4 linked regions of the Elephas maximus indicus genome follow. The protein of the gene in region 3 purifies or fractionates together with the protein of the main gene of each other region. This does not show direct contact. Links are inferred from orthologs where the notes say so. Each region holds a gene or a part of one and is shown on either strand. Other genes may lie near its edges. The genes, in order: WIPF2, ABI1, NCK1 and GIT2.

The links.
Region 1: the proteins of NCK1 (region 3) and WIPF2 purify together in Homo sapiens (co-immunoprecipitation; 3 studies listed by BioGRID and IntAct, with this or other methods). This does not show direct contact. The link is inferred for Elephas maximus indicus from reciprocal best matches to the Homo sapiens genes NCK1 and WIPF2.
Region 2: the proteins of NCK1 (region 3) and ABI1 purify together in Homo sapiens (co-immunoprecipitation; 4 studies listed by BioGRID and IntAct, with this or other methods). This does not show direct contact. The link is inferred for Elephas maximus indicus from reciprocal best matches to the Homo sapiens genes NCK1 and ABI1.
Region 4: the proteins of NCK1 (region 3) and GIT2 purify together in Homo sapiens (co-immunoprecipitation; 3 studies listed by BioGRID and IntAct, with this or other methods). This does not show direct contact. The link is inferred for Elephas maximus indicus from reciprocal best matches to the Homo sapiens genes NCK1 and GIT2.

What each region holds. Positions count from the first base shown.
Region 1 is NC_064837.1:47,410,891-47,418,464, reverse strand, and holds the start of WIPF2 (WAS/WASL-interacting protein family member 2), read right to left. Parts: upstream 3,012-7,574; 5' UTR 2,858-3,011; intron 2,636-2,857; exon of another isoform or gene 2,533-2,635; intron 1-2,532. UniProt on the Homo sapiens protein: Plays an active role in the formation of cell surface protrusions downstream of activated PDGFB receptors. Plays an important role in actin-microspike formation through cooperation with WASL.
Region 2 is NC_064822.1:28,454,778-28,462,031, reverse strand, and holds the start of ABI1 (abl interactor 1), read right to left. Parts: upstream 3,002-7,254; 5' UTR 2,860-3,001; coding exon 2,743-2,859; intron 1-2,742. UniProt on the Homo sapiens protein: May act in negative regulation of cell growth and transformation by interacting with nonreceptor tyrosine kinases ABL1 and/or ABL2. May play a role in regulation of EGF-induced Erk pathway activation. Involved in cytoskeletal reorganization and EGFR signaling.
Region 3 is NC_064844.1:41,558,341-41,565,470, forward strand, and holds the start of NCK1 (cytoplasmic protein NCK1), read right to left. Parts: upstream 3,008-7,130; 5' UTR 2,886-3,007; exon of another isoform or gene 2,567-2,885; intron 1-2,566. UniProt on the Homo sapiens protein: Adapter protein which associates with tyrosine-phosphorylated growth factor receptors, such as KDR and PDGFRB, or their cellular substrates. Maintains low levels of EIF2S1 phosphorylation by promoting its dephosphorylation by PP1.
Region 4 is NC_064840.1:20,517,496-20,524,639, forward strand, and holds the start of GIT2 (ARF GTPase-activating protein GIT2), read right to left. Parts: upstream 3,016-7,144; 5' UTR 2,870-3,015; coding exon 2,818-2,869; intron 1-2,817. Other genes in the region: ANKRD13A (ankyrin repeat domain-containing protein 13A), read left to right, coding at 6,499-6,594. UniProt on the Homo sapiens protein: GTPase-activating protein for ADP ribosylation factor family members, including ARF1.

The sequences.
Region 1 (7,574 bases), on a different chromosome or scaffold from region 3:
GCAAATACTAAGTCTCTCTTCCTCAATGCCCTGGACATTCAAACTGTGCAGTCAAAGACACTGATTACCAGATGATTAAGAAACAAACTCTGAATTTAGAAGAACTATAAAGAATTGCAAGAACATTCAGTAAAGAGTACTGCCTCTATTTCCTTGCAGAACACCTCATTTTGACACAGAACGCCCCACCTACTCTAATCAGGGGAACATCCCTCAAGAGACAGTTAACTGCAACCCTGCCAACTTCTGCTCGGGAGTTGTGTGAAGCATAGTAGCAACAACAGCCTACTTCAAGAAGATTAACAGTCACACTCAAGAAGAAAAGAAGTTATTTGGCAAAGGGATGCATGTTGCCAAAATGTTAGTCACAGCTTCAAGGGCCCAGTTGTGTGTCTCCGCAACTATTCTTTGCTTTGACAAGAGTCCATTCCCTGGCCCAGGAAACTCAGCTCAGCTTCTGTCACGCTCTCCATTTGGAGCAGTCAAGGATTCTTTCATTTGGTGGTGTCAAACTGTGACACAGACAAGATGTCCACCAGAGACTAAAAAAGTGGGGAAAAAATGTGTAATTTGCTATTTTCCACTTAGAAGTGGTTCAATGGAAAAACGTGAGACGGTAGGAAAAATAGAAAAACATTATGTTAAACAAGCAGGCTATACCAAAAGCTTGCCCAGAGCTCTGAGCCTCCATAACTTATCTCAAAGCCCTCTTAATTACAAATTGAAAAGATACACTGTAGGGTGAAATGACAGTATAATATCTAGCAGATTTTTACTCCAAATAAATATGTATACTTATTGTCTACAGCTCATCCTGGGGTTGGTATAAAGACTATGGTTTGCTGAAGCAGCCTGAACCAGCAGTCCATGAATTTCAGAATTACTTTAGATCAACAGGAAAACAGACTCAAGTACACCAGGTCACTCTCATCATCAGACAGCCCAAAGAGTCAAGAAAGAACAAGTGACAATTTTCTCCTCATTAGGAACAAGGACTTCTCTCTTCCATTCTTCAACGCCATTAATAAAATCTGAGAACCCTATTGTTCACAATACCTTCCACCCTCCCCTGCATTTCACCTTTGCCCTGACATCACATAACTAATCAGTAGCAACTAGAATAAACACTACTCTGTATCAAGGGAGGCAAAACTAGAATCTGCCCCCTCTTAAGCAAATCCACATCAAACTTCAGAAATGCCAACACTTCCAGGAACACATCTTCTAAGCTAAACAAGTTCACCTATAGGCAAAGTTTTTAGAGCTTTATACCCAAAGAAATAAAACTAGAACAGTCAGGATTTCAAAGGAGTAACAACCCCACTGGTCCCACCAACAGGCAGCTATGCCAAAGTGATTGGACCAAAGCAAAAAGCTCAACTGTCTAAAATACTATTTATCCTTGATCTCTCATAGACTCATGAAGAAATTCAGTGTTCGTCAGGAGTAAAATACTGTGGCAACTAGAAAATAAAACACTGCATTCTCCCACAGTCCCCACCAACCGACCTCATTCATGCCAACTCTAAACTCCCTATCTCCATTTTGATGGCAGCCAACACAATGCAACACAATAATATAAAATTTTGACTGATAAAAGTTAACATTAAGAAAGGAGAATTTAAAAACCAACTCTTCCCAGGCACATAAAAATGCAGCGTATGCTGAGGAAGAAACTGAGGATATGTCTCCTAAATATCAGTATCTCAACTTTGTGTTTGGAAATCACTTTTTTTTGCAACCACTTTAAAGATTCTCACTTGGTTAACAGAATCTTTTAGAGGCAGGGAGGGAAGAGACCTATATTTCAAAGGGGGAGAAAAAACGAGGCACTTAATGATTTGCCAAAGAGTTACTCAGTAAATCAGGAGGTAGGCTAGGACAGTCCTTATTCCCTGGGATCCTCTTCTGATTTGTAAAGGAGTTAAAAAAAAAAAAAAAAAAAGTCTCCAAAAACATTCAGTAAGTCGTTCAGAAACCAAAACTGTAAGACAAAAATTACAGCAAGAAAAGAGGGGGATGGGCCCTGGGGGAGGCCAAAGCAGTAAGATCATTCAAATCCCCTTAAAATTATGAATTCCTGCACATATCAGCTTCTTCCGGGTCCTTACCCCAATGTTATTCTTTAAGAATGTTTCTTCCTGATCAGCAGCCCAACCACACACACTGCCCACATTCAACACTTTCAGATTTTCCATCTTCCCTCACTTCACTTGTCACTTCCCCTCACTCCAACATGAACCCTTAATTTTAGATGCTCCCGTGCGCATCTCAACAGCTCTCCATCCAACCTTTAACTCAATTCTGATTCTTTCTCAACGAACGCTCTTAAGAGTCCCTCTAGCGTAAGCAGTTTCCCGAGTCATCCTCCCAACCACAGGTTTTCACCCGGCTCAACCCCCGAAAAGTCACAACTGGCCTCCTCACCCAGAGCATCCTGCTAATTACCTGTTCCCAACAGGTCCTCCCTCCCCGTCTCCCTTTTAGCGCACGGTTACCTCGTTCCGCACCCTGAGTTCCCGTCTTACTCGCCTTACCCAACCCTTCAGGATCCCTTATTTCCTGTCTCTCAGCAGCCTTCCTCTTCATTTTCAGTCTGCGCTCGCCCCACACCAATTCCGGACCACTCCTCCCTACTTAGATTCCACACGCCCCCTCTCCTCCGGGTTCTTCAGACCCAGCCCCAGGCCCCTTCCCTCAGGCCCCGCCCCCAGGCCCCTATCCCCTTCAGGCCCCTCCTCCAACGCGCCCCTCTCTCCTCAAGCCCCGCCCCAATCCCCACTCCCCAGCTCTTCCTAGCCCTTAGGTCCGCAGGTCACCGCAGCGACGGACCCAGCCGCCCCGGCCTCTTCCTAACCTGGCCGCAGTTGCTCCGAGAGCGAATCCTCCGCCACCTCCGCTCCGGCTTGGTCCCGTCCCGCTCGCCCCCCGGCAAGCTCCCTTTCTAGCCGCCGCCGCCCCTTTTCCAACCCGGAAATGGATCTGCTCCCACTGTCCCCAGCGTCTGCGAACAAAATGGAGGCGGGGGAAAAAAGGAGGAGGGGAGCAGGGAGCGAAGAGAGGCTACACGCATGCGCTTCTGGAAGGCCCGCCCCTGTCGGCTCACGTAAAGGCGGAAGCGGTCTGATCGGCCCCCATCTTGAGAAGGTCACAGAAATTCCGTTTGCTAACTGAAAGGAGGATTTCCAGCTTTAGCTGCAATTGGAATCACCATCACCTGGAAAACTAACCAAACACTGATGCCTAGTTCCACCCCCGGAGATTCTGATTTGTTGTTCTGGGCTGTGGGTTAGGCATTGGAACATTTAAAATTCTGCAGGTAATTGTAACGTGTTGCAAAGGTGGAGAACCACTGAGCTGGAGTCTTTCATGATTATACATTTTATACGTCTTTATTCCACCGCACTCCTCCACACCTCCTCCCTAATCCCGAGGTAACGAAGAACCTGTCTCAGCCAACCTTGTAAGGGCCCAATAGTTAAACTCCGGTTGTCATGGCAACAGGGGCAGGTCCTGCTAACAGGTCATCGTTTACGTCATCTTAACCACCTAACCCAAGGGTTCCGCGGCGTTCAGGAATGGGGGGTGATGTTGCATGGGTCAGGGGAGAAGTGCTACGCCCTCCCTGGCAGGGATGCTGTTGACTGAGAATCTCCCCCTAGACCACCCAGTGCAACCAACCTCATTGTCTTATATCCTCAAAATGCTCTCCTTTGGGTCTCTCCATCATCCTTCCTAGCACCAAATCCGAAGTAAGAGGACAAGATTGGGATTTAGGTCCCACTGCTTGCTAGCTGTGTGGCCTTGGGCTTTAGCTACCCTAACTGTAACACGGAGGTAATAGTGCCTACCCCGTCTCCCTCATAGTATTGTTGGAAGCCTCCAATCAGATAATGAATAGGGAAGCACAAGTGATAAACCGTCAGTTATTATTTTTGTTTTCCTTGTGTTCTGCCACTACCCACTAGTTGTTGTTGTTGTTGTTGTTAGGTGCCGTTGAGTCAGTTCTGACTCATAGCGAGCCTGTGCACAACAGAACTACCCACTTAGTCAAGTAAATGTCACAACCTTCATTGCATTCATTGAGTATCTGCTGTGGGTCAGACACTGTCCTAGGCACCAAGAGATGCCTACTGGGGTGACTAAGACAGAGCCTCTGCCTCCAGGAACTCACTGTGTGGTAGGCAGACTGACATGTAAACAGCTAGCAGAGATATAAGTCAGCATGTGATTAGTGCCATGGGGACATACATGCTGTGGGGCATCAGACAATGGAGTGATTAATTCTTGCTAAAGAATGGGATAAGATTTCATAAATGGTTTTGAACTTGACCTTAAAGGATGAGTAGAATTTTATTACTAATCAGAGAAGACAGGGAGCACATTGCAGGCATAGGAATCAGTGGGGGCAAAGGTAAAGATTTTCAGGTATGTAGTTTTTTAGTCTTACATTCCTAAAGGTGTTGTGATTAGGCCAGAGGGATGGTAGATCTAAACTCCTTACCAGAGCCTCCTAGCTCTTCAGCCTCCTCTCCTCCCTGTACCCTCCTCACTCACTACACACTATGCACACCTGCTTTCTAACACTGCAATGTACCAAGCGGTTCCTACCTCAGGACCTATATACTGGCTATTCTTTGCCCCATCCTCATTTTTTGAGGCCTCACTCAAATGTCCCTTCCTCAGAGGGCATTCCCTGCCCACCATAGAAGATATAGGGAGATAGTCAGATGCTTGCAGTCATGCTTAGAATTATGAAGACTGCAACAGGTACAAATGCAGATCGATCCAACAGTGTTGTGGTGGGCATTGTTGGCATTGGTGTTGTGATTTTCCAAAATGCTGAACAACTCTTGGTAAAGTTCTAAACAATACAAAACAATTTACAAAGTGGTCACATTCCTGGAAAAGACAGGTTATATGCAAATTACATGCACAAAATATTTTGTGTTTGTAGTTTCCTTTTTTGGTTATATGACAAGCCAGATACTTGGAAGAGCTTCCCCCTAAAAACAACTAAGAATCCTGGATAAGACATTTAAAAAATCTTAAATACATTGACAAGCTGCTAAAAAGGTAAGCAATTTTCAAGGCAAAACAAAGTAATTGAAGGCAGAGAGTAAGTGGAACACTGAAGCAGGCTTTTGCTCTGAGGGCACTTGCCTAACTAGGTGAACCTGAGCTTTTGTCAGTGTCTCATGGAAAAAGGAAACACCATAGAATCTCTTCAACAGCCCCCTCCTCCCTTGGGTGTAGGGTTAATGGAGATAGAGTCTAGGCTAAGGTAATTATAAATAGACTTTTTCACATAGAATATTGAGCAGGACATTCAAAAGTCTTGTGGAACCCAGGATAATTCTTGGTTGCATGGAACCATCCCTTGCATTGCGTTCTCTAGCATCTTTGACCCTTGCCCACCAAATGCAAGTAGCACATCCTAACCATTGTAATAAACAAAAAGAGCTCCACAAATTTCCAAAGTGCCACTGTGGAGAACCACTGTCCCTTGCCACACTATCAAGTTGACAATGGCAAATTGTAAAGGACTTTATTGTCTATTGAAAAGCTTAGAGTTTATCTTGTCTGTGAGAAGAAATTGTTGAAAGGCTTAAGCAGAGAAATGCTACAACTCACTTTGCATTCTAGAAAGATCTCTCTGATTGCAGCCTGGGAGACAGTTTAGATGAGACAAGGTTGGAAAGATGAAACCAGTTGGAAAGCTGGTGTAGCAGTCCAGGTGAGAGATGACAGGTGCCTGAACTGAGTGGCAGCTGGTCACTGGCGGAACACAAAGGCTTCAGAGGCAGGGCTACCTGGAGTCTCAGTTCTCTGTGCTGCTGAAAACGGTGAGACCTTGAGCAAGTTATTCAACTTCCACTGGCCTCAAGATCCCCATCTGCAAAATTTAGATAAGATTAAATGGAACGCATCACAAGTGTTTACACACATGGAAAGTACTCACTAATATTAGCTGTGATCATTATTAGGGTGTCAGCAGTGGGGATGGAGAGAAGTAATTCTAGACATATTTAAGGGGTGGAACGTGGGGACTGAAAAGAAGGAGAAGCCAAAGATTATCCCTAAGTTTCTATCTTAAACTCTAGTGTGGAGATGAGGCTAACGCTTAGCTGGAGAGTGTCAAAGAAGAAAAGGAGGGGCTGGACTGGTTAAGGAGCCTGAGGAGCCTGGTGGGACATCCAAGAAGTGAGGTCCAGTATTCCATGGTATGTTTGAGTCTAGAGATTTGGAAATCACAACCTATGGTAGTCTCCAAAGATGGCCCCTAACAAACCAGGGCTCCTGGTCTTCATTAATTTGGCTGGCCTGTGACTCCATTTAACCTATGGAAAGAAACAGAAATGATGCTGTACCAGGTCCAGACCTAGGCCTTAAGAAAACCTGGAACCTTCCATTTGTGTTTTTGGGACCCCTAGGCTCCCATGGATTGACACAGTGGCTGCAACAATGAGCTCAAGCATAACAACGATTGTAAGGATGGCTCAGGACTGGGCAGTGTTTCGTTCTGTTGTGCATGGGGTCGCTATGAGTCAGAACCGACTTGACGGCACCTAACAACAACAACAACAGGCTCCCATGAGGAGCCCTGGTGGCGCAGTGGTTAAGCATTCAACTGCTAAACAAAGGTCAGCAGTTCAAATCCACCAGCCACTCTTGGAAGGAAAAATGTGGCAGTCTGCTTCCGTAAAGATGACAGCCTTGGAAACCCCAAGGGGCAGTCCTACTCTGTCCTGTAGGGTTGCTATGAGCCAGAATTGATGTGACGGCAGTGGGTTCGGGTAGGCTCCCATGTAAGAAATTGGCTACTCTGCTGCAGAGACCACCTGGAGGGAGAGGCTTTGAGACTACATGGAGAGAGAGAGAGCCACCTGTCCCAGCGTTTCTGCTGTTCCCACCAGACCACCAGACATATGAGGGAGCCATCCTGAACACTTCAACTTCCCCTCCTCTTACCTGCGGCCACATAAGAGACCCCAAGTGAGATCAGCAAAACTGTCCAGCTCAGTCCCAGTCAACTCGGAGAATCTTGAGAAATTATGAAATGGTTGTTGTTTTAAGTTACTGAGTTTAAAGTTACTTATACAGCAATAGGTTCCAAAACAGAAGTATAAGGATAAAATCAAAGGCAAGATTTATAAAGAAACGTGAAGAAGGTTTAGGGTCAAGCCCAATGAATGCCACATGCAAGGACCAGGCTGAGGGAGGAGGCTAGCAAGGGAGACTGAGAAGGAGAGGGCAGAGGGAAACCCCGGGGTCATAGTGTCCTGAAAGCAGTGATGAGTGAGGAAGGAAAAATGGTCAGAAATATCAAACGCTAGCGAGAACAACAGTAAGATAAGTGTCCCTTAGATTTGGTAACATGGGAGTCATTGGCGACCTTGACAAGAACAGTTTCAGGAAGCCATGAAGGCAGAAGCAAGATTGCACTGGGTTGAAGAATGAAGGGAAATACAGAAAAGCAAAACCAAACAAACTAGAGTTGTACGTATTGACCTGGCTGGATCTCACAAGTATAATGCTGAAGAGGGAAAAATTGCTGAAGAGCACATCGGGCA
Region 2 (7,254 bases), on a different chromosome or scaffold from region 3:
CCCCACCCGTCACCCCCAGTTCAGTGGTAGAATTCCCCCATTCCATGAGCGAGACCTGGGTCTGATTCTGGCCACAGCACCTCATGCCCAGCTATCATCCATCTGTCAGTGGTGGACTGCACGCTGGTATGATGCTGGACAGGTTTCATCAGAGCCTCCAGACCGACAGGGACCACCAAGAAGAAAGGTCAGGTGACATACTTCTAAAAATCAGTCAATGGAAACCCTATGAATCGCAACGGTCCCACCCATAACCAATCATGGGGATGACACAGGCCTGAACCGCATTCATTCTGTTGTGCGTGGGGTCACCATGAGTGGGAGGCTGAGTCAACAGCAGGTAAGGACGAGATCAGAATACCTCACTGGAGGCAAGTTTAAAAAACAAACCCACTCTCATCTAGTTGATTCCGACTCATGGCAACCCCCATATGTTACAACTGAGTTTCACAGGGTTTTCTTGAGTGTAAATGCAAGGTCACCAGGCCTTTCTTCCACAGCACTACTGGATGGGTTTGAACTGCCAACCTTTTGGTTAGTGGTCAAATGCAATCTGTATGCACCCCCCAGGGACCTGAAGTCAAGTTTAGGACCACCAAAAAAAAAAAACCTTGAGGCCACTGGCGATGACTCGATACCATGGTACTAATATTTTAGAAAGTGAAAGACTATGAGAAATAACATGACATCTTAATTAGGGAAATTACCAATGAAGTTTAAAAGTACTTCAAAATTACACGACGGTGGTATGAGGGAGAAGGAAAAGGGGTCAGAGAGAAAAAAGAAAATTAAGAAACACCTTTACAGCATACAACCATCTGAAAAAGAAATAGCCAACAGACAGGTTAAAACATGTTTGCAGTTACCAACTGTTGCCAACGTGTAGCAGTTACCACACCATATACTTGTCAGATTTCCCAACATGCAAAACAAAAAGGAATCTCCCCTTTATGAAGTACTTATCTACTGACTTCTGTTAAGAAATGGCTTTTCTGGGATGGGGGCAATTTAACTTTCTAAGCTGTCTGAGTTTCAAAATCTTCAAGATCTTCAGCAAATAAGGTTCGCCTCAATTTTAAAGCTTTTCATGCTGGGTTGAATAAAAATTGCATATTTTTAATACTGACTAACTACAAAACCACTTTTCTATTTGTAAACTATATCCACATTTCTACTAGAGTTTAAAGTGATTTTTTTAAACGCTAAATACAGTTTGAAAAAACAAGTAGTAATACAGTAGATGTGGCAGGCATTCAACAACTTTACTTATCAGTAAAATTCCTAAGTAAATGCTTGAAAAAATTTGTGAAGATAAAGTCCTAGTAATGCTACTGAAGAGACAATGTTACTAATAAAAAAACTTAGAAATAATTAAAATATTTTGAAAACAGCACCTCTGCCTATAAAGTAAGAGGAAATGCATTTGCCAATACAGAAGTCATTGGTTCTTAAAAATGATAATCACATCGAAGGCATTTCTAAAAATACTTCAGTTCTGAATTGCAATACCTCTAACCTTTCAAAGCACGTTCTGTCATGCCTTACCAATAACAAGCAATTTTTGGGTGTCATTATACTGATACAAAAGTCTGCTACTTCATTTGCTTCTACAGCAAACTGTTGGTTTACACAGTTAATGAACCGCAAAGCAAACTACTACACATATAATTCACTTTCAAGCATTAAAATAAAAACAAGCTTATATCACAGATAAGGGCCCAAGAATTTTCCAATAAATTTGCAATAACAGCTATTTTACGTTCTGGTTCAAAGGTTCGGTAATCTATTTGGATTCATATTCTACACGTGCACATAGGTTGGAAACAGGGAAACTTCAGAAAACGGCGGTTACACCATTCTAAGTTACTTGTGAAGCCAAGGGTTCAAGAACTTTAGGCGGAAGAGAGAGTAAGATATTTTTCCAAGTAGTTAAGAATAATTTACGTTTTATAATAACGATACTCCTTAACAACCTCTAGACTACATTGCAGTGGAGCGGAAGTGAAAATGATGAGACCGAAAAACCCGACTTGAAAACGGACAGGCAGGCAGATTTACAAACCGTCAATTAAAGGAATTTTAAGATTAAGTTCTCTCAAAGGCCCTCCCTTACTCCACACCCGCTTCTCCTCTCCTTAGGGAGGTCTGTGTAATGTGACTCATGACAAATTTTTTTAAAAAATAAATAAGTAAACGACACACCCTCTGGGTTGAACTGACATAACTGCCCCCACCCCACCCTCCCCGAAGCACACCCCGCTTTTCCTGTCCCTTCTGCTGCTTCTCCCTTAGCCTCTTCCCTGCCCTTTCCTCTCCCTTCTCCCGGTTCCAGACCCCCCCTCCCCGGCGGAGAGGCAGCGGGGCAGCAGCTGGGTCCCCGGGACAGAAGCACGGAGAAGGGAGGGCTGCCGAAGGGCAGCGAGACTCGTGGGGTCGAGCCTGCGGGGAGGCGGGCGTCAGGGGGCCGCCCGGCTGCGGTGGCGGCGGGCTCCCGGGTCCCTCGCCCATTTTCTCTCTCCCCTTCTATCGGTTTCAACCACCAGAGCCACTTCCTGTATCACAGCCCGACTCACTCAACCCTGCCACTTGCTCTCTGGCGGCTGGGCTTGGGGTTGGGGTTGGAGCTGAGGCAGAGGCTGAGGTTAGGCAGTTCCCCACCCCGCCCAGGGGGCTGGTCACTCCGGCGGCCGGCGGCGCGTCCTCGGCCCGGGCAGCGTCTGCCCGCCCGCCCGCGCTCCTCACCTGTATGTAGTTGTTCTCACAGTAGTCCGCCACCCGGGTCAGGTTCTGGTAACTCTCTATCAGCGCCCTCTTGCCAGACGGGATCTCCTCCTCTAGTAACATCTGCAGCTCTGCCATTTTCCACCCCTCCGCATCGCTTCCTCTCGCGTTAAAGAGACAGCGGCAGCGAGGTCCGCGGAGGCTCCGAGCACCTCACAGCCCGGATACAAACCGCCTACCGCCCTCCCGCCTGGTATTGTGGGACGGTACCTCCTCCTCTTCCTCCTCGCTCTCTCCACCCCCTTCTACCCACTTCGCGCAGCCGCCTTAACCTCGTTCTCTCGCGATCGTTCCTAACTCCTAGAGAGAGGGATTTTTTTTTTTTTTTGCACGGTCTTCTGGGAATTGTAGTCTCTGATAGGCTAGACTTCTCATCTGAAGCGCAGGCGTCGGGGAGGAGTGTAACTAGGGAATCTTGACCAGAGGCGGTGATTTTAGGTCTGGAATTTCCTGACAGCTCCGGTAGATGGCGCAATAGGGTGATGCTGGAGAAGAAAACCGTCCCACCTCCCCCAAGGCTGTGGAGCTACAGAGCTTTAGCAACCGAATGTGGATAAATAAGAGCCATGGATTCCGGTTAGTATTAAAAAGGGATAAAACCAAAACCTAACCCGTTACCATCAAGTAGATTCCATCTCATAGCGACCCTATAGGACAGAGTAGAACTGCCCTATAGGGTTTCCAAGGAGCTGTTGGTGGATTCACACTATGATCTTTTCGCCTGCAGCCTTAACGCTTAGATACTGCACCACCAGGGCTCCTTAAAAATGGATAGAATATGGAAAACTCCAAATATTTATAGGTAATCCTCGACTTAAGATGTATTTGAGTTACAATGAACAGCACTTATCACCACCTTTTTTTTTTTTTGTACGTCTTATCATTAGTAAAAAGCTGCTATTCCTAAGGTTTTCACTGGCTAATGCTTTTCAGAAGTAGACTGCCGGGTCTTTCTTCCTAGTCTTAGTGTGGAAGCTCAGCTGAAACCTGTCCTCCATGGGTGACCCTGCTGGTACCTGAATACCGGTGGCATAGCTTCCAGCATCACAGGAACACTCAAGTCCCCACAGTAGGACAAGCGGACAGACGTGGAAAATTGGAAATCTTTAAAACAGAAATGGAATGGCTAAACATCAATATCCTAGGCATTAGTGAGTTGAAATGGACTGGTATTGGCCATTTTGAATCGGACAATCATATACTCTACTATGCTGGGAATGACAGCTTGACGAGGAATGGTGTTGCATTCATTGTCAAAAGAAACGTTTCAAGATCCTGAAGCACAGCGCTGTCAGTGATAGGATAATATCCATACGCCTACAAGGAAGACCAGTTAATGCGACTATTATTCAAATTTACGCACCAACCACTAGGGTCAAAGATGAAGAAACAAAAGATTTTTATCAGCTGCTACAGTCTGAAATTGATTGAACATGCAATCAAGATGCATTGATTATTACTGGCGATTGGAATACGAAAGTTGGAAACAAAGAAGAAGGATCAGTAGTTGGAAAATATGGCCTTAGTGACAGAAACAATGCCGGAGATTGAATAATAGAATTTTGCAAGACCAACAAATTCTTCATTGCATATACCTTCTTTCACCAACATAAACAGCGACTATACACATGGACCTCACCAGATGGAGTACACAGGAATCAAATTGACTACATCTGTGGAAAGAGATGATGGAAAAGCTCAATATCATCAGTCAGAACAAGGCCAGGGGCCAACTGTGGAACAGATTATCAACTGCTCATATGCAAGTTCAAGCTGAAACTGAAGAAAATCAGAGCAAGTCCACGAGAGCCAAAATATGACATTATGTACATCCCACCTGAATTTAGAGACCATCTCAAGAATAGATTTGATGAACTGAACACTAGTGACTGAAGACCAGACAAGTTGTGGAATGACATCAAGGACATACATGAAGAAAGCAAGAGGTCACTGAAAAGACAGGAAAGAAAGAAAAGACCAAGATGGATGTCAGAGGAGATTCTGAAACTTGCTCTCGAACGTCGACCAGCTAAAGCAAAAGGAAGAATCGATGAAGTAAAAGAACTGAACAGAAGATTTCAAAGCAAGTCTTGAGAAGACAAAGTAAAGTATTATGATGACATGTGCAAAGAGCTGGAGATGGAAAACCAAAAGGAGAGAACACACTCGGCGTTTCTCAAGCTGAAAGAACTGAAGGAAAAATTCAAGCCTCGAGTTGCAATACTGAAGGATTCTATGGGGAAAATATTAAACAATGCAGGAAGGATCAAAAGAAGATGGAAGGAATACACAGAGTCATTATACCAAAAAGAATTAGTTGATGTTCAACTACTTCAAGAGGTGGCATATGATCAGGAACCAATGATACTGAAGGAAGAAGTCCAAGCTGCTCTGAAGGCATCGGCGAAAAACAAGGCTCCAGGAATTGAGGGAATATCAACTGAGATGTTTCAACAAACGGTTCTAGCTCTGGAGGTGCTCACTCATCTGTGCCAAGAAATATGGAAGGCAGCTTCCTGGCCAACTGACTGGAAGAGATCCATATTTATGCCTATTCCCAAGAAAGGTGATCCAACCGAATGTCAAAATTATAGAACCTCAAAAACAAAACATGCATGGTTTTTAATGCTGTCCCGTCCTAATTTCTTTTCTCTGACTCCTTTGCATGTCTCACCCTACTGTTTTTGTTTCTGTAGGTTGTGTAAAATCATTTTTTTTTTTTCCTGATTATCAGCTGCTTTGGAAGAGTTTCAAAAAGCCCTATATTTTAACCTTTTAGTTTCACTGAAAATATGAAATGCTTCTGGTATAATGGGTTATGAAAAGTGTTGTCCAAAGGCCAAAAAGGAAGTTAACTTAAAGATTGTTTGAAAATCCATTTTCATAGCTCTCCACGTAGCCATTTAGAATCACAAGGATAGAAATGGTAACACCACACAATCAAATAAAAAGATCAATCCGTCAAAAGTATTTATTGAATATTACCTCTACTTGTTGATGTTGGGTGCCATTGAATCGATTCCAACTCATGGTGACCCTGTGTGACAGAGAACTGCCCCACAGAGTTTTCTTGGCTGTAATCTTTAGGGGTGCAAATCGCCAGGTCTTTCTCCCACGGAGACGTTGGGCAGGTTCAAATCATGAACCTTTCAGTTAGCTGCTGAGTGCTTAACCATTGCACAGCCAGGGCTCCTTATTACTTATACTAGGGGCCATAACATATTCAACCTTCCCAAGGAGGAACTTAAGTCTGCTACATAAAAGAAATAACTGCCCCTAGCCACTACCATTATATTAAACTGAGAAAAACACCATAGTCCCTGTCAAGGATTCTAAGGTCCATCAATCAATGAATGGGTTACTTTTACTAATTGTCTGGAATAGGCACAACGGTCTTGCTTCAAGTTTTATCATTAATCCAATTACATTCAACAGGATTTAATTCAAGTAGTGGAAATGTGTTATATTCTTGATCTTGGTCTCTACGTGAGCCTGCATATATCCATATATTTATACATTTCAACAACATTGGGGGAATGATTAAGGAGATGATACTGAATTACTATTACTCAAAGTACTATCAGACTTGTTTAATGCTCACAACAACTCTGAGAGATAAACAAGGTAAATATTATTTTATTTCTTTACCAGGTAAGGAAACTTAAGCTTAGAGATTTAGCTAAGGGCACTGAAAATAGAAATAGTAAGCAGCAGTCAAGAAATCAAATGATGTATTGCATTGGGCAAATCTGCTGCAAAAGACTTCTTTAAAGTGTTAAAAAGCAAAAATGTCACTTCGAGAACGAATGTCATGGATTGAATTATGTCCCCCAAAAAATGTGTGTATCAACTTGGTTAGGCCATGATTCCCAGTATTGTGTGGTTGTCCTCCGGTTTGTGATTATAACCTTAGGTTGAGAGGATTAGGGTGGGATTGTAACACCACCTTTACTCAGTCACCTCCCTGATCCAAGGTAAAGAGAGTTCCCCTGGGGTGTGGCCTGCACCACCTTTTATCTCTCAAGAGATAAAAGGAAAGGGAAGCATCAGAGAGCTGGGGACTTTATACTACCAAGAAAGCAGCACCAGGAGCAGATCATGTCCTTTGGACCCGGGATCCCTGTGCCTGAGAAGCTCCTCAACCATGGGATGATTGAGGACAAGGACCTTCCTCCAGAGCCAAAAAAGAGACAAACCTTCCCCTGGAGCTGACACCCTGAATTTGGACTTGTAACCTACTAGACTGTGAGAGAATAAATTACTCTTTGCTAAAGCCATCCACTTGTGGTATTTCAGTTATACCAACACTAGATAACTAAGACAACTAAGGTGTAACTAAGCCTAGCCATAGTATTTTCAATGACCTTATATGCATGCAAAAACTGGACAATGAATAAGGAAGACGGAAGATGAACTGATGCCTTTGAATTATAATGTTGGCAAAGAATATTGAATATACTATGGACTGCCAGA
Region 3 (7,130 bases):
ACAATGGAATACTATGCAACCATAAAGAATAATGAGTCCGTGAAACACAATGTGGATGCATCTGGAGGACATTATGCTAAATGAAATAAGACAGTCACAAAAAAAGACAAATATTATATGGTCTCGCTATTATAAAAAGTCAAGAACAGATAAACACACAAAAAGCAAAGCTCTTTAATGGTTAACAGGGATGGGAGGGAGAGGGAAAGGGAATCACTTTCTAGACAATAGACACTTGCTACTTTTGGTGAGAGGAAAGACAATCCCAAACATGGGTGAAGTCTACCCAACTTGACCAAGGTAAATAAATAAGAAGTACATGAGCAAAAGGGACAATTTTAGTAAACGTTATATACAATTTTGCAACAACAGTGAACAAAGCAAAAAAATACACGTGTGGTTACGTAGGTAGCTGTTTTAGTCATCTAGTGTGTTGTAACAGAAATAACACAAGTGGATGGCTTTAACAAAGAGTTTATTTTCTCACTGTAAAGTAGGCTAAAAGTCCAAATTCAGAGTGTCAGCTCCAGGACATTTTCTCTCTCTGTCGGCCTTCTCATCAATCTTCCCCTGAGAAGGTGCTTCTCAGCGCAGGGACCCCAGGTCTAAAAGATGTGCTCTTCTCCCGGCACTGCTTTCTTGGTGGTATAAGGTCCCCCTGTCTCTCTGCTCCCTTCTTTCTTTTATATCTCAAGAGATTGCCTCAAGATACAATCCAATCTTCAGATTGAGTCCTGCCTCACTAACACAACTGCTGCCCATCCTTCCTCATTAACATCACAGAGGCAGGATTTACATCATACGGGAAAATCACACAACACCAGGAATCAAGGCCTAGCCAAACTGATACACACATTTTTGGGGGGACATAATTCAATCCATGACAGCAGCTATAGATGCATTATGTGTTTAGGAAAGCATACTCAAGTAAATGTACGTGCAGGTACAGGTGTATCTGTAGGCATAGGTATATACACGTTTGTGTGTGCTGCATATATAAAAAATATATAGCCACATATATATCCACATATGAAACAAACCAGGAGCCCTGGTGGCACAGTGGTTAAGAGCTCAGGCTGCTAACCAAAAGGATGACAGTTCAAATCTATCAGCCACTCCTTGGAAACCCTATTGGGCTGTTCTACTCTGTCCTATAGGGTCACTTTGAGTCGGCATCAACTGACGGCAATGGAGTTCTTTTGGTTTTTCTAAAAACAAACCACATGGGGGCACGGTTACAAAGGCGTCAAAGGGCTTAGGGCCATACTCTTGGGGGACAATTTAGTCAACTGGCGTAACATAGTTCACAGAGATGACGTTAGTATCTGGGATCTTAAAAGCTTTTTAGTAGCCATCGAAGACACAACTATGGGTCTCTAAAACCCTTTGAACTTGGAACTGAAGCTTTTTCTGCAGGTCACCTTTCAGCCAAATAACAGGTTGGCTTATAAAATAAACAGTATGACACATGAGTAATGTGCTCCCTTAAACAATTAACTATATGAGACCAAACGGTCAACTTTTAACCAAAAGCAAAGATGAGTAGGCAAGTAGAGGAAGGGAAGCTAGATCAAAGGAAACAGAACAAACAATGGAATACTTAGGATGCTGACACATTGTAAAAACTATAACCAATGGCAGGGAACAATTTGTATAAAAATTGTTAAAGGGGAACCTAATTTGTTCCGCAAAATTTCACCTAAAACACAGTATTTAAAAAAAAAGAAGGAATTGAACTATTTATTGCGCTACTATCAATTTGTGAAACACTCCTAGTTTAAAACTGCATACTATTTACAATTACAAGACGGAAAAAAAATTCTTCTTGGATTATTTCCCCATTTATTTCACCTCACTGAAGGTTGTGATTTTAAGCACAGTGCTTTTCAGATGTCTGATAAATCGTTAACGATGGGTTTTTCATAATCTATCAACATAACGTTTAAAAGAGAGTATCTCTTGCAACACGCGTTTAGACCAGACAGTAAGCGTCTTTTGTGCCCCACCCCCAACCTCCGCAATCATGGGGTTAGAAAATTCTCAAGCTCAATTATTTCCTTCCTAACTCCTATGGCTTCTCACCTAAAATAACGGGTAGAATGAATTAAGGTGACTTCAGTACGTCAGCTCGACTTTGGGCGCCTATGTTATGGTTCTCAGCTCCCAAACAAAACCCCGCTTCCAGAGCTTCTAACGCCGAATTCAACTTTTATGGAAACAAATAAAAGGCTACACAACCAAGCTATCAAGATAATTTTTTTAGCGGATATATTACAACTGAAGTCAAAAGCTTAAAGCCCAAGCAATCGCATACGAAACCTAAAACAGGTTCATGCGATTTTTTTTTTATCCACGTTTCCCGAGAAAGACGACGACCGGGGGGGTGGGGGAGGGGGTTGCAGAGGGCGCGTCCAGAAGATGTCCACCCTCAGCCCTGGGCACGGCTCCCTGTCCTTCCCTTCTCCGCCGTGTCCCTGTCTTCCCCGCGTCGGTTACGCACACAACGGGCAACAAGATTTTTTCAGAAGAAAAATAAGACACGGAAGGGAGCGCGCCGCACACCGACCTCAAAGCCTCGCAGGCGCTCACCCCGGCGCGACGCCCCGGAGGCGGGCAGCGAGGCCGCGGGGCCGCGGGGCCCGACGGTGGCGCGGAGTCGGGTGCAAACGCCCCGGCCGGGCCTAGCTGCCTCCCCGCCCCCTCCGGCTCTGCCCGCTCCGGGCCGGCAGACGGCGCCCCCGGAGGTAACTTCACTGGGGAAGAGGAAGCGACGCAGTGAGTAACCAGCTACGTGGACCGACAGGGGAAATGAAACTGTGTACGTGTCCACCTGCCGGCAAGGCTGCCTCACCTTTCCTCTGCCGGCCCGGGCGGCTCCGGCTCACCTGACGATCGCAGCTGGACGACACGGCGGCCGCCGCGATGGCCGTTACGGCACGAGGCCTGCGCTCCTCCGCGGGTCGGTCTCGGAGAGGGGCGGGGCGGGGCGCGCGGCCGGCGGGCGGGCGGCCGGCGGGCGGGCGAGGCGGGGCGCTGACTGGCCCCGAGGCGATGGGCGTTGTGCGCGGGCGAAAGAAGGCCCTCTCGGCCCAATCTGATAGGCTCAGTCCCCTTCCCTCCCTCCCCTGCCTCGGTAGCAATCGGTGCGGCGCTGGGATTGGGCAGACTCCCCTATCAATCAGGCGCTGTCCCGGCAGCGGAGTGAGCTGAGGCTGAGAGGCGGGGAAGAGCAGACGTTACGAATCCTATTTTCAAACTCTTTTTCTGCACGCCGAACTTCTCGAATGACGACTTTAAGTCTCCCTCCTCAGCGCCGCAGGTACGACCCCACAGCAAATATGACGGCTTCCCGAGTTTAGACCAAAGCGACAAAAAAACAAAAAGGCCAGGAAACGAGGACCTGGGAGAAAAATGTAAGCCACATGCTTACGTTTGAGCCATAGACCGGGTCTTGGGGCCTTCCAAGTGCCCTGGTGCGCAGGCTGCTTCCAGTCTCGGCTGCAGTAGCCGTGCTATGAAGGCAGTGACCTGAGTGAGCTGCCATTCTTAGCGGCCCTGCCCCAGCCATCTGCTGGGTGGTTAATAAATTAGCTCTTCCCCACGCCGGCACTGCAAAACTCCATAGCCTGCCTTCCCTTCCTAACTGTCTATGTGGCTTAGTTTACTTTCCCTCCTTGGGGAAACCTGCAGGGCTAGGTACCTTTCTCCGAACACAGGTACTTTCCCCATCAGAACTGTTGAAATAGTTTGCCCGTATCCTTACCTAAGCTGTAAGCTCCATTAGGTCAGGAACCATGTCAGTGTTTGTTCCGATTTCACCCAGTGCCTAGCATGTGATAGATGGGCAATACATAATTAAAGCATTAATACATCTTCTCCCTCCTCCTTTAATCCTGGCCTTGACTATAAATCCTGAGTCCACAGTAATTATCAGTATTTAACCGTTCAACTTCAAAATGATTCCTGTGAGCGCTGATGGATGCATGTGGTTTGCCTGCCATATGTAGGATCACAGGATCAAGCACAAATCACCTATGACCCCTTCCTGGCTTCAAGTTGGCTGAGGCAAGAAGACCATGTAACTCAGCAACAGCTACACTATGTCTACATCCCATTATTAGCATCCAAAATGAAGAAAGCAAGTAAATTTTGGATTCATTCTAAGGGTCTAAATAACTTTGCGTATTTTATCCTGGCTTTCTTTTTGTTTTTTAGTTTATTTACTGTGCTTTAGATGAAAGTTTACAAATCAAGTCAGTCTCTCATACAAAAAGTTACACACACCTCACCAGTATCATTGTCTGTCTTATAGTCCAGTCCAACCCCTGTCTGTAGAGTTGGCTTTGGGAATGGTTCCAACCTTGGGCTAACAAAGGGTCCGGGGACCCTGACAGGGTCCCTCTAGTCTCAGTCAGGCCATTAAGCCTGGTCTTTTTATGAGAATTTGAGATCTGCATCCCACTGTTCGCTTGCTCCATCAGGGATTCTCTGTTGTGTGCCCTGCCAGGGCAGTCATCGGTGGTAGCCGGGCACCATCTAGTTCTTCCATTCTCAGGTTGATGGAGTCTCTGGTTTATGTGGCCCTTTCTGTCTCTTGGTCTCATCTTTACCACATGTTTTTGGTGTTCTTCATTCTCCTTTGCTCCAAGTAGGTTGAGACCAATTGATGTATCTTAGATGGCCGCTTGCTAGCATTTAAGACTCCAGATGCCTCTCACCAAAGTGGGATGCAGAAAGTTTTCTTCACACATTTTGTTATATCATGGCTTTCTTATTGGTTGATACATCTTACAAAGTCTGTAGGTTGAGATATTATATTCATTTTTGCAGCTGGAGATATGATTTGTCCAGAGCTTAACATGATTTATCCATAACCACACAGTGAACTGTTGGCAGACCAGACTCAACTCAATTCTTGTTACATATTTAACACGTGATGCAGAAAGAGGTGTGAATAAAAATAAAAAATAAAAAAATACTAAGGTAAAATATAGTCCTTGCCTTCAAGTGGCTTATACTACCTGAAGTGGGGAAGATAATTCTAGAAAATTATGCTGAAGTCATAAAATTGGATTTTATTTTGTAAGGCAATCTGTATTTTGAATGGGCCAGTAATGTCTTCACAAGATTTTGATCCAGATCTCTCGACTTCTACTGCTCTTTACCACCTATTCAAGCAATATAAGAAGCAATTGCAAGGAAGAGAGACCTTAAAACTGCTTTTTCACAAAAGGGTTTCAGTTCCCTGTGAACATGTTTTTTTTCTTTTAATGTTCCTTCTTTAATCTCCCTCATTACTCATTCTTCCCAGGAACTCTCAAAAAAAAAAAAAAACTCAAGATACATATGGAAAAGAGGAATCAAAAAGGAAAAATAAGGAAACATCAATAAAAGAAGAAAGCATAGGATGGAAGGGTAGATAGAAAAATTATGTGTGAAATTCCAGTATGGCATACTTAAAAGGAATGGAGTCCAAATTCTCATAGGGTGGGAATTGCCCCAGAGACTTTCTTTCACACATTCTGTCTCTTCAATTTCTAAACATAAATATGTACATGGGGGCTTCTTCCTCTTTTACAGTGGAACTCAAAACCAAAAGTAAAAATCATCCTTGCTGATCAGTACTGAGTGGACCAGGGACTAGCCAGAATCAGGCAACAACAAAATTTAGGTCAAGACAAATGACCTACACACTGGAGGTGAAGTTTGGGATTTGGGTAGCTAACCTGTTTCTGGGAATAAAAACATGCAGGCAACTCACTTCATTAATTCCCAAAAGGATTTGGGAAGACAAGAAATGGAAAAATGAGCCTCTACGTCTCAAGGCCTTCCCCAGGAAAGTATTTATAATTTATACTTAGAAGTGACTATAGAGAATAATCTGGTTTAATATCACTGTCAGGCAGGAATGTTTAGAACAAAAAAGCCCTAACTCTAATCAAGAGGTAACTAATTAATCATAGGGTCAACTATAAAGTATCCAAATTAGTCAGTGGACCCTGGTAACTAAACCTAATTTCTGGATTGAGTATTATTAGACTTTTATGGGAATTCATTCAACAAAGATTTATCGAGGGTCCACTTTGGTAAGCACTACAATAGGTTTTAGAGATCTAAAGATCTGTCCCTATCTTCAAGGAGCTCAATCCAATTTTGGAAAATGAGATTCAAACTGGTATTTATCATTAATATAATAAAGACAATAGATATAGACAGGGATGTTAAACCAGAGGGAGACGGAAGTTGTGTGGTTAGGCTAGTCCATCAATTAATCTAGGGAAAAAAGAGAAGGGCTTTCCAGGTAGAGAGGCCTGCATGGGGGGAAAAAAAAAAGCCACTAAACAGTAGTAGATTATTGCTGGAGCAGAGTGACTAGGCATGCAAGCAATAGCCAGGTCCTGGAAAACCATGGGTGACAAATTAAAGACTTTATCCTGTAGGCAACGAGAAACAAAAGGTTTTCTTTCAGCATATAAAGCAAGTACTTTGTCATTCTGTTGTTTTCTGGCTTCCATTATTTCCGATGTGAAGTAGCTGTAATTTTTATCATTGTTTCTCAATATCTCAAATCTTTTTCTCTGGCTGCTCTGAGGATTTTTTTCTTTATCTCTGTTTATCAGAAGTTAAACTATGATATTTCTAGGTATGGTTTTCTTTGTACCTATCCTGCTTGGGGCTCACTGAGTTCCCTGGATCTGTGGTTGCTTTTTTTTTTTTTTTTTTAATCAAATTTGAAAAGTACTGGCCAGTAGTTCTTCAAAAAATTTTTCCGCCTCATTCTCTCTCTTTCTTTTTCTAGGACTACAGTTACACTTATGCTGGACCTCTTAATATTTAGTACAGGTTTATTCAGGCTCTGTTTTTGTTTTTTAACTTTTTTTTTCTTTCTCTGATACAATTTGGATAATTTCTATTGAAAGCCAGTGTCCTGTAATCCCTGAAAAAAAAAATTTTTTTATTGTGCTTTCAGTAAGAGTTTACAAATCAAGTCAGTCTTTCATACAAAAATTTATATACGCCTTGCTACGTATGCATTGTAAAATAACATACTCCTAGTTGCTCTCTCTGTAATGAGACAGCATGCTCCTTCTCTCTGCCCTGCATCCCTGAAAAATTTTGAATGTTGACAT
Region 4 (7,144 bases), on a different chromosome or scaffold from region 3:
TAGTAAGTACTCAGTAATGTTAACTGTTACGTCTTTTATAAATAATTTTCTAAGCACCATTCAGATATTTCAACAGCCCGCTGAAATTTGTGATCCTGAAAAAAAATTTTTTGATTGGAAAAACTTAAAACATCAAATGTTTCAAGTAAATACTATATTATCATAGTGAAAATTTCAGCGGATTTTTCAGGTAATCGAACTCAGTGTGATTTAGTTAAAATAAACTGCGCTCATTAAACAAGCAAACTAAGAAGAAATAATCATGGTTAAATATTTGCCATGAAACAAAATAATTCAATGAAGTATAACTGTCTCAGTACTACTATACCATTCTAAAAAGCAAACACTGTAAACATCAAGATAAAGGATCCCTAAAATGCTACACAGCGACGGGTTTTTTTCTGCACGAAGGGAAAAAAAAGACTGCCTTGAAGCATTTTTTTTTTTTTTTTTTGAAGCATAGCTTTGATTTTCACCTAGCATCCAGAGAATTCACAGTATTCTTTCAGGGGAAATGGAACAGGACTAAGACAGCAAGGATTTAACAATTAGGCAAGGTTCTCAATTAACCATTTTAACATCACATATCAGAATTCCATGGATAGAGTAACTAGAATGTTACAGCCGAGTAAAATCAAACCGAGTTTGTACAAATAAGGTTGGGTAAAACCCTTCCTGTTTATGTGGATGTTTTGTGTCGGGGTTTCTTAACCTGGGCTCCACGGACACCACAAATGAGCTTCAGGAGTGTCTGTGGTCCCACTGAGAAAATGCGCATGAAATTGTGTGTGAAAGTACATACATGTGCATTTTTTGGGGAGAGGGCCTTAGCATTCATCAGATTCACAAAGGAGTCTCTAACCCTAAAGGTAACCCTTTCACTAGGGTTTTGCAGAAAAGGCAGAACAAATTCCTAGCTGCACAAGTTCACGGAACATTTCAAGGTAGCCTAATTATACTCAAAACAGGAAGGAAGTGACTCAAGTCTCTGTAGATAGGTACATAAGACAACTAAAATGATATGATGAAAGAGAAAATGTTCTGAAATGCATAAAATGATGCAGAAATGCAAGGTAGTATTTAGGGTGACAACGAAGAAGTAACTTTCCTTTGCCCTAAGCCATCCACTGAGAAGTAAAGAATACTCATTCTAAGAGGAAGTTTGAAGCTAGACACATGTGAATCAAACATGACGCAGAAAGTTCAACTGAAAACAGGCAAGAAAAAGAAGGAAGTGGAAACATTTTTAGAGACTAGGATTAATTTCGTATAACCACCCTGGCTGGTTTATAAAACACCTCTTTTTTAAACTCCTCCACCCCTTTCCCTATTTTCAAAGGAAACTGGCAACCCTGACGGCTCTATAAACCAAAAATCAAACCCAGTGCAGTCAAGTAGATTCCCACTCATAGCAACCCTATAGGACAGAGTAGAACTGCCCCACAGAGTTTCCAAGGAGCGCCTGGGGGATTCGAACTGCTGACCCTTTGGTTAGCAGCCGTAGCACTCAACCACTACGCCACCAGGGCTCTATACAGACTATGAGAAAAACCACTTCAGGTTTGAGATATCATGTTGTTCTTGTTAGTTGCCGTCCAGTTGACTGCAAGTTATCACAGGACTCAGCCTCAACCTCCAAATGACAAGATGAAGTTCAGAACAGTTGCCACAACACTGGCATTCAATGATTTCATTAAGGTTGTTTACTGGACGATATTGTGCCAAGGAAGCCATCTTACTTTTGAGTTACTTCAAACTCAAAGCAGATAAACCGAAGCACTGAAAACAAAACACAATCTAGCCACAGAGACCTGTCAGCTCAGCTCCAAATGCTAAGATGGAGCTGAACTCTGTACCTGAAACTTGCACATGGCAGAAATGATTTATGCCCATATTGCTGAATGCTCAAATGTGAATACTGCCCGTGATTTTGCGCCTGTTAGTTTTTGGTAAGTTGTAATTCATGCATGATTTAGAAATGCAAATCTAACTTTAAAGGACGTCAAGAGTTATCTGTACTAAACACAATACAAAAAAGAAGGAAAAAAAAAAAAAACTTGAGATGATGAGAAGGCTCATTAAATCTAATCACCGAGCCAAATACTCCCGACTATATCCATTGGAAAAATGAGGAAATCAAGGCTTGGTCACATGAAGTCACAAACCCAAGGTCACCCAGACCTAGTCTGAACCCAGGCGATTCAGATCTAAAAACTTGAGACATGCTCTGCCTTCTAAGTGCTGGTTGTTTCTGCAAGACCGCGACGTCCTGCAGGTTCTTCCCCGTGGAGTGGGAGACGAGATGCCAGAAGCCTGGAAGCAATCTGCCCTCCGGAGGGTCTCGGTGAGGGAAACCGCGAGTGTCGCCCATCTCGGGCAAGGCCCTCTGCGGGGCGGGGGTCCGGATGGCTGGTGTGTGTGGGGGTGACACCTGCAGCCTCTGGGGGCCGCAGCCCGGAGGATGCTCGCATTCTACTTCTGTAATTGGTCTTCCTGTAGATTGCCCAAGCCCCTTCCTGTTGGGGGAGCAGCCCTGGACCTCGCCGCCTCCCCGGCCGGCTGGGACGGAGGAGAAGGGGGAGAAGGAAAGACCGGAGGGCGGCGGCCCCCTCCCCGCCCGGCTCTGACAGGCCCGGGACGGGCCCCGCCCCAAGGCTGCCGCCTCGGGCTCTCCCTCGCCGCGACCCCAGCCGCGGGGCGCGGGGCGCGGGGCGCGCAGCTCGGCCGTCGGGACTCGCCCGACCTCAGTGGGCTGCCTCGGGGCAGGGGTCCGGGCCAGGAGAGCCGAAGAGAGCGGGCCCCAGCGGTGAGACTCACCCGGCCCGCTGCAGTCAGCGCACACCTCGCTGCTCCGGAGCCGCTTCGACATGGCTCTCGCCTCCCACCCGCGGGGAACTAGGGGCCCCCGGACAGCGAAGGCGGCGGCGGTGCTTCCGCTCTAACGGGTCCCCGCGGCAGCGCTGGCGGCAGCGCCTCTCCCCTCAGCGCCTCGGAGCCCGGCGCAACACGCACGCGCGGGGAGGTGGCCTTCGCCGACGGACAGGTCACGTGACCGGAAAGGGCACACTGTTTTGTCGCCATCTTGAATGAGGGCAGGTGTCTGTTTCCCCAGCCTCTGCCCTGCTTTTAAATCTTGAATTTGGGTGCTTCTATTTGAGTCGCGGGAACCCTGGTGGTGTAGTGGTTGGGAGCTACGGCTGCTACCCAAAAGGCTGGCAGTTCAACTCCACCAGGCGTTCCGTGGAATCTCTATGGGGCAGTCCTACTCTGCTCTATAGGGTCGCTATGAGTGGAAATCGACTCTATGGCAACGGGTTTGTTTTTTTTTTTTCCCCCGCCTCTGGGTTGCGGAAAGAGCCTTGGGGGCGCAGTGGCTAAAGCGATAAAACTGCTAACCGAAAGGTCGGGTGTTGGAAACCACCAGCGGCTTCGCGAGAAAAATGTGGCAGTCTGCAGTCCGCTTCCCTAGAAGATTTATAGCTTTAGAAACCGTATGGGGTCAATGTGAGTCTAAATCGACTCCACGGCCGTGGGTATTTTAGTGGTCTCTGAGATGCTACAGGGTCGCTATGAGTCTGGATCCACACGAGGGCAATGAATGAGTTGTTTTTTTTTTTTCCTACACGAGATACTCCTCCTCCCAGTACTGATTAATTCCAGGGGAAGCTGTAAAACCTAGTGACCATAGAGAGCTCTGCAGCCACAACTTTCCTGAGGCAATCAGTGGTCAAGTCACTTAGTGCAACTTTGGCCAAGTTAGTTCATTCATTCATTCAACAAATACTGAGTGTCTGCTGTGTGCCGTGCACTATCCAATGGAGCTTCCCAGGAGCTCTGGTGGGCAGTGGTTAAAGCGCCAAGCTGCTGACCAAAAAGGTCCGCGGTCGGAAACCATCAGCTGCTCACCGGGAGACAGGACAGCCTGCTTCCTTAAAGATTTACAGCCTTGGAAACCCTATGGGGCAGCTCTACTCTGATTTACTGTTATTATTGGTATCACTATTATTTTCAAATCACGACTTTTCTTCCTATACTTGAAATTTGAGAGTAAGAATATATAACCCAGAGTAATTTAAAGGCTAACCAAAAACGAAACCCGCTGCCCTCAAGCCTATTTCGACGCATAGCGACGCTGTAGACAGAGTAGAACTGCCCCATAGGGTTTCCAAGGGGCACTTGGTGGATTCAGACTGCTGGCCTTTATGATTAAGCAGCCGTAGCTCTCAACCACTACGCCACCAGGATTTCCAATTTATAGAACAGTGTGAGATAAACACAGTGAGGTTAATCAGTGTGAAGAACAAATGTGATCCTAATGCCGAAGGCCACCTCCCCACTAATGAATATTTATTGTATGTGTTACATGTAAACAGAATTATAATCTCCATTTAGCAAATATTGGATGCCAATTATGGGTTAGGGGGAAACCCTGGTGGCGTAGTGGTTAAGTGCTACGGCTGCTAACCAAAGGGTCGCCAGTTCGAATCTGCCAGGTGCTCCTTGGAAACTCTATGGGGCAGTTCTACCCTGTCCTAAAGGGTCGCTATGAGTCGGAATCGACTCGATGGCACTGGGTTTGGTTTTGGTTATTATGGGTCAGGAAACCCTGGTGGCATAGTGGTTGAGAGTTACCACTGCTAACCAAAAGGTCAGTAGTTCGAATCTACCAGGTGCTCTTTGGAAACCCTATGTATGGGGCAGTTCTACTCCATCCTATAGGGTCACTATGAGTTGAAATCAACTGGATGGCAACGGGTTTGGTTTTGGTATTATGGGTCAGGAACTGTTTTGGCTTTAGGTACTCCCGTAAACGAGACAGATGTGAAGTTTTCAGACTAATGTGACAGGAGGGATGTTCAGGAAGCATGGGGCAATAGAGAGAAAGATTAAGTTGCACAAGGGTTCTGAAAGAATGAAGAGGCCTTAGAAGCACTGGTCCTTGGTCCATCTCTCCGGCTTGATAAATGTGTGGTGTGGGAATAGCCACGTAGTTCCCACGCACGCAGCACTTACAGTCTATGAGTACTAACCTGATGCTCCTGCGTGCTGTTTTGGTTCCCCAACTCACAAATCTGGGCTCAACACGTGTGGAGAATGGATTAGGCTAGGATTCTTGAACAGCTGTTGTTGCAGGCATCTGAGAAGCTGGCTGTACACAAGCAGAGAAGGCCCAGGAGATGCTTTCAGGATGAATTGAATAACTTTGCCCAGCTATGTGGTCGAGTTGTAGACAGCTGAGCAGAAGTGGCAGCAGGAAGCGCACAATGGTGGCTATAAACTGACTTGATTCTTCATTGAGGCAAAGAGGTACAGTATCTGAAGTTGAAACTCAAAGGATGAACTTCATATTTGCAGACTGTGGTCAAGTCTGGGTATTATATATCAGTCTTTTCAGTCATAATCCAAAATCCAAATGGCTAGCTTCAAAAATAAATGACACATGTGGGATAAACCATTATCATAGGTAGCTTTGAATCATAACCCAGTTCAGAGTTCAGATAGAACAGTGGCTCTCAACTGGAGACCATTTTTGTCCCCCAGGGGACATCTGACTTTATCTGGAGACATTTTTTGGAGGGTCGATATGAGTCGGAATTGACTGGACGACAGTGGGTTTGGTTTTTTTTTTTTTTTTGACTGGCATTCAGTGCGTAGAGGCCAAGGATGCTGTTCAACCTCCTACAAAGCACCCGACAGCCCCCACAACAAGTTATCCGGTCCAAAATGTGCGGAGGTTGAGAAAACTCTGTGATATAACTATCTCCTTATTATGCAAATATTTAACGCCACTCCTCCAGGGTTTATAATTCCTCCTCTAAAATTGTTTGCTTTTGCCCACTTCCAAAATGGATTCTGACCAATCATGGAAGCATCTGCCCTGGTCCAAAAAGGCTGCAAGGAAGTCGGTAGCCGGAATGGTTTAGCCCAGGCCTGTTGTCGCCCCCTGACCGCAGGGCCAATGGAAGAGGCCCGGTTGTGGACCGAACCATCTGCGATACATAAGGCAGGGGGAAAGAGGTTGGTGATGGGTAGACCAAGTTTTCCACGTCAATACTCTGAAACGAAAGAGGTACTCTTAACACTGTTTTAGATATCACACTATGATCCTGGTGTGGAATTGGAGATTGGTGAAGTTGGGCGAACTCCGGATCGACCGCTTTGCCTCGCCCTTCCCCGCCCCCGCGTGCGGTGGTTCGCTCCCCGCACTTCCCTGTTTGGGACAGTTCGGTCCGCAGAAGTCGGTTCGGGAGCTGTCAGCGCGGGCGGGAGCGTCGCGGGGCGCGGGGTGGGCTCGGCCGACCCGGTCCCCGACCCGGCCCGCGACCCCCGACCTCCCGCGCACCACGCAGTCGGCCCGCTAGGCCACCCGGCCGTGTCCCTCGCCTGCTCGCTCGGCTTGTCCTCTCGCTCGACGGCCGCTGGCGGGCGCCGGAGACCCCGCCGGGGCTGAGGCTTCTGGCGAGCGGGTGGCGAGGGCCCGGCTGCGGCCTCCTCGCCATGTCCTCGGCCCGCGACGCCAGCGGCCACTTCCCCCTGCATCTCCTGGTCTGGAAGAACGACTACCGGCAGCTGGAGAAGGAGCTGCGGGACCAGGTGAGGGGCGGGGCGGGGCGGGGCGGGGCGGGAGTCCGCCCCTGGTTAGGGGGAGTCGAGGCTCGCTAACCTCCCTGAGCCCATTTCCAAGCCCCTGCCCTCGGGGTCCCTTGGACCCCTTCAACTCTGCAATCGTGGGACGGCAATAATAGTAACAACAGGACGTGTATTGAGTGCTTACTGGTGCCAAGCTCTGTGTCAAGGGCTTTATATACATTATTTCTTCTAACCTTTCCAACATCCCTAGGAGGTGGGTATTATTATTCCATTTGACAGAGAAGGAAACTGAGGCTCTCAGAGGTTATGGGCCTTGTGCAAGGTCGCCCAACTAATAAATTTGCCAAGTCGAGATTTTAACTCAGGCTGGCTGGCCCCAGAGAGCGCCGTCTTTACCATTAGGCGCTACTGCCCCTCTCCAAGACTTACACTTTAGACTCTACTGTCCTCTCTGAAAGACAACACACACACCCCTCACCTCACCTCATGCACCCTTGTTGCCTTGCTGTAAGGAAGGTCTTTGTTAAGGTTTGGAGTTCGGGTTCTAACTTGC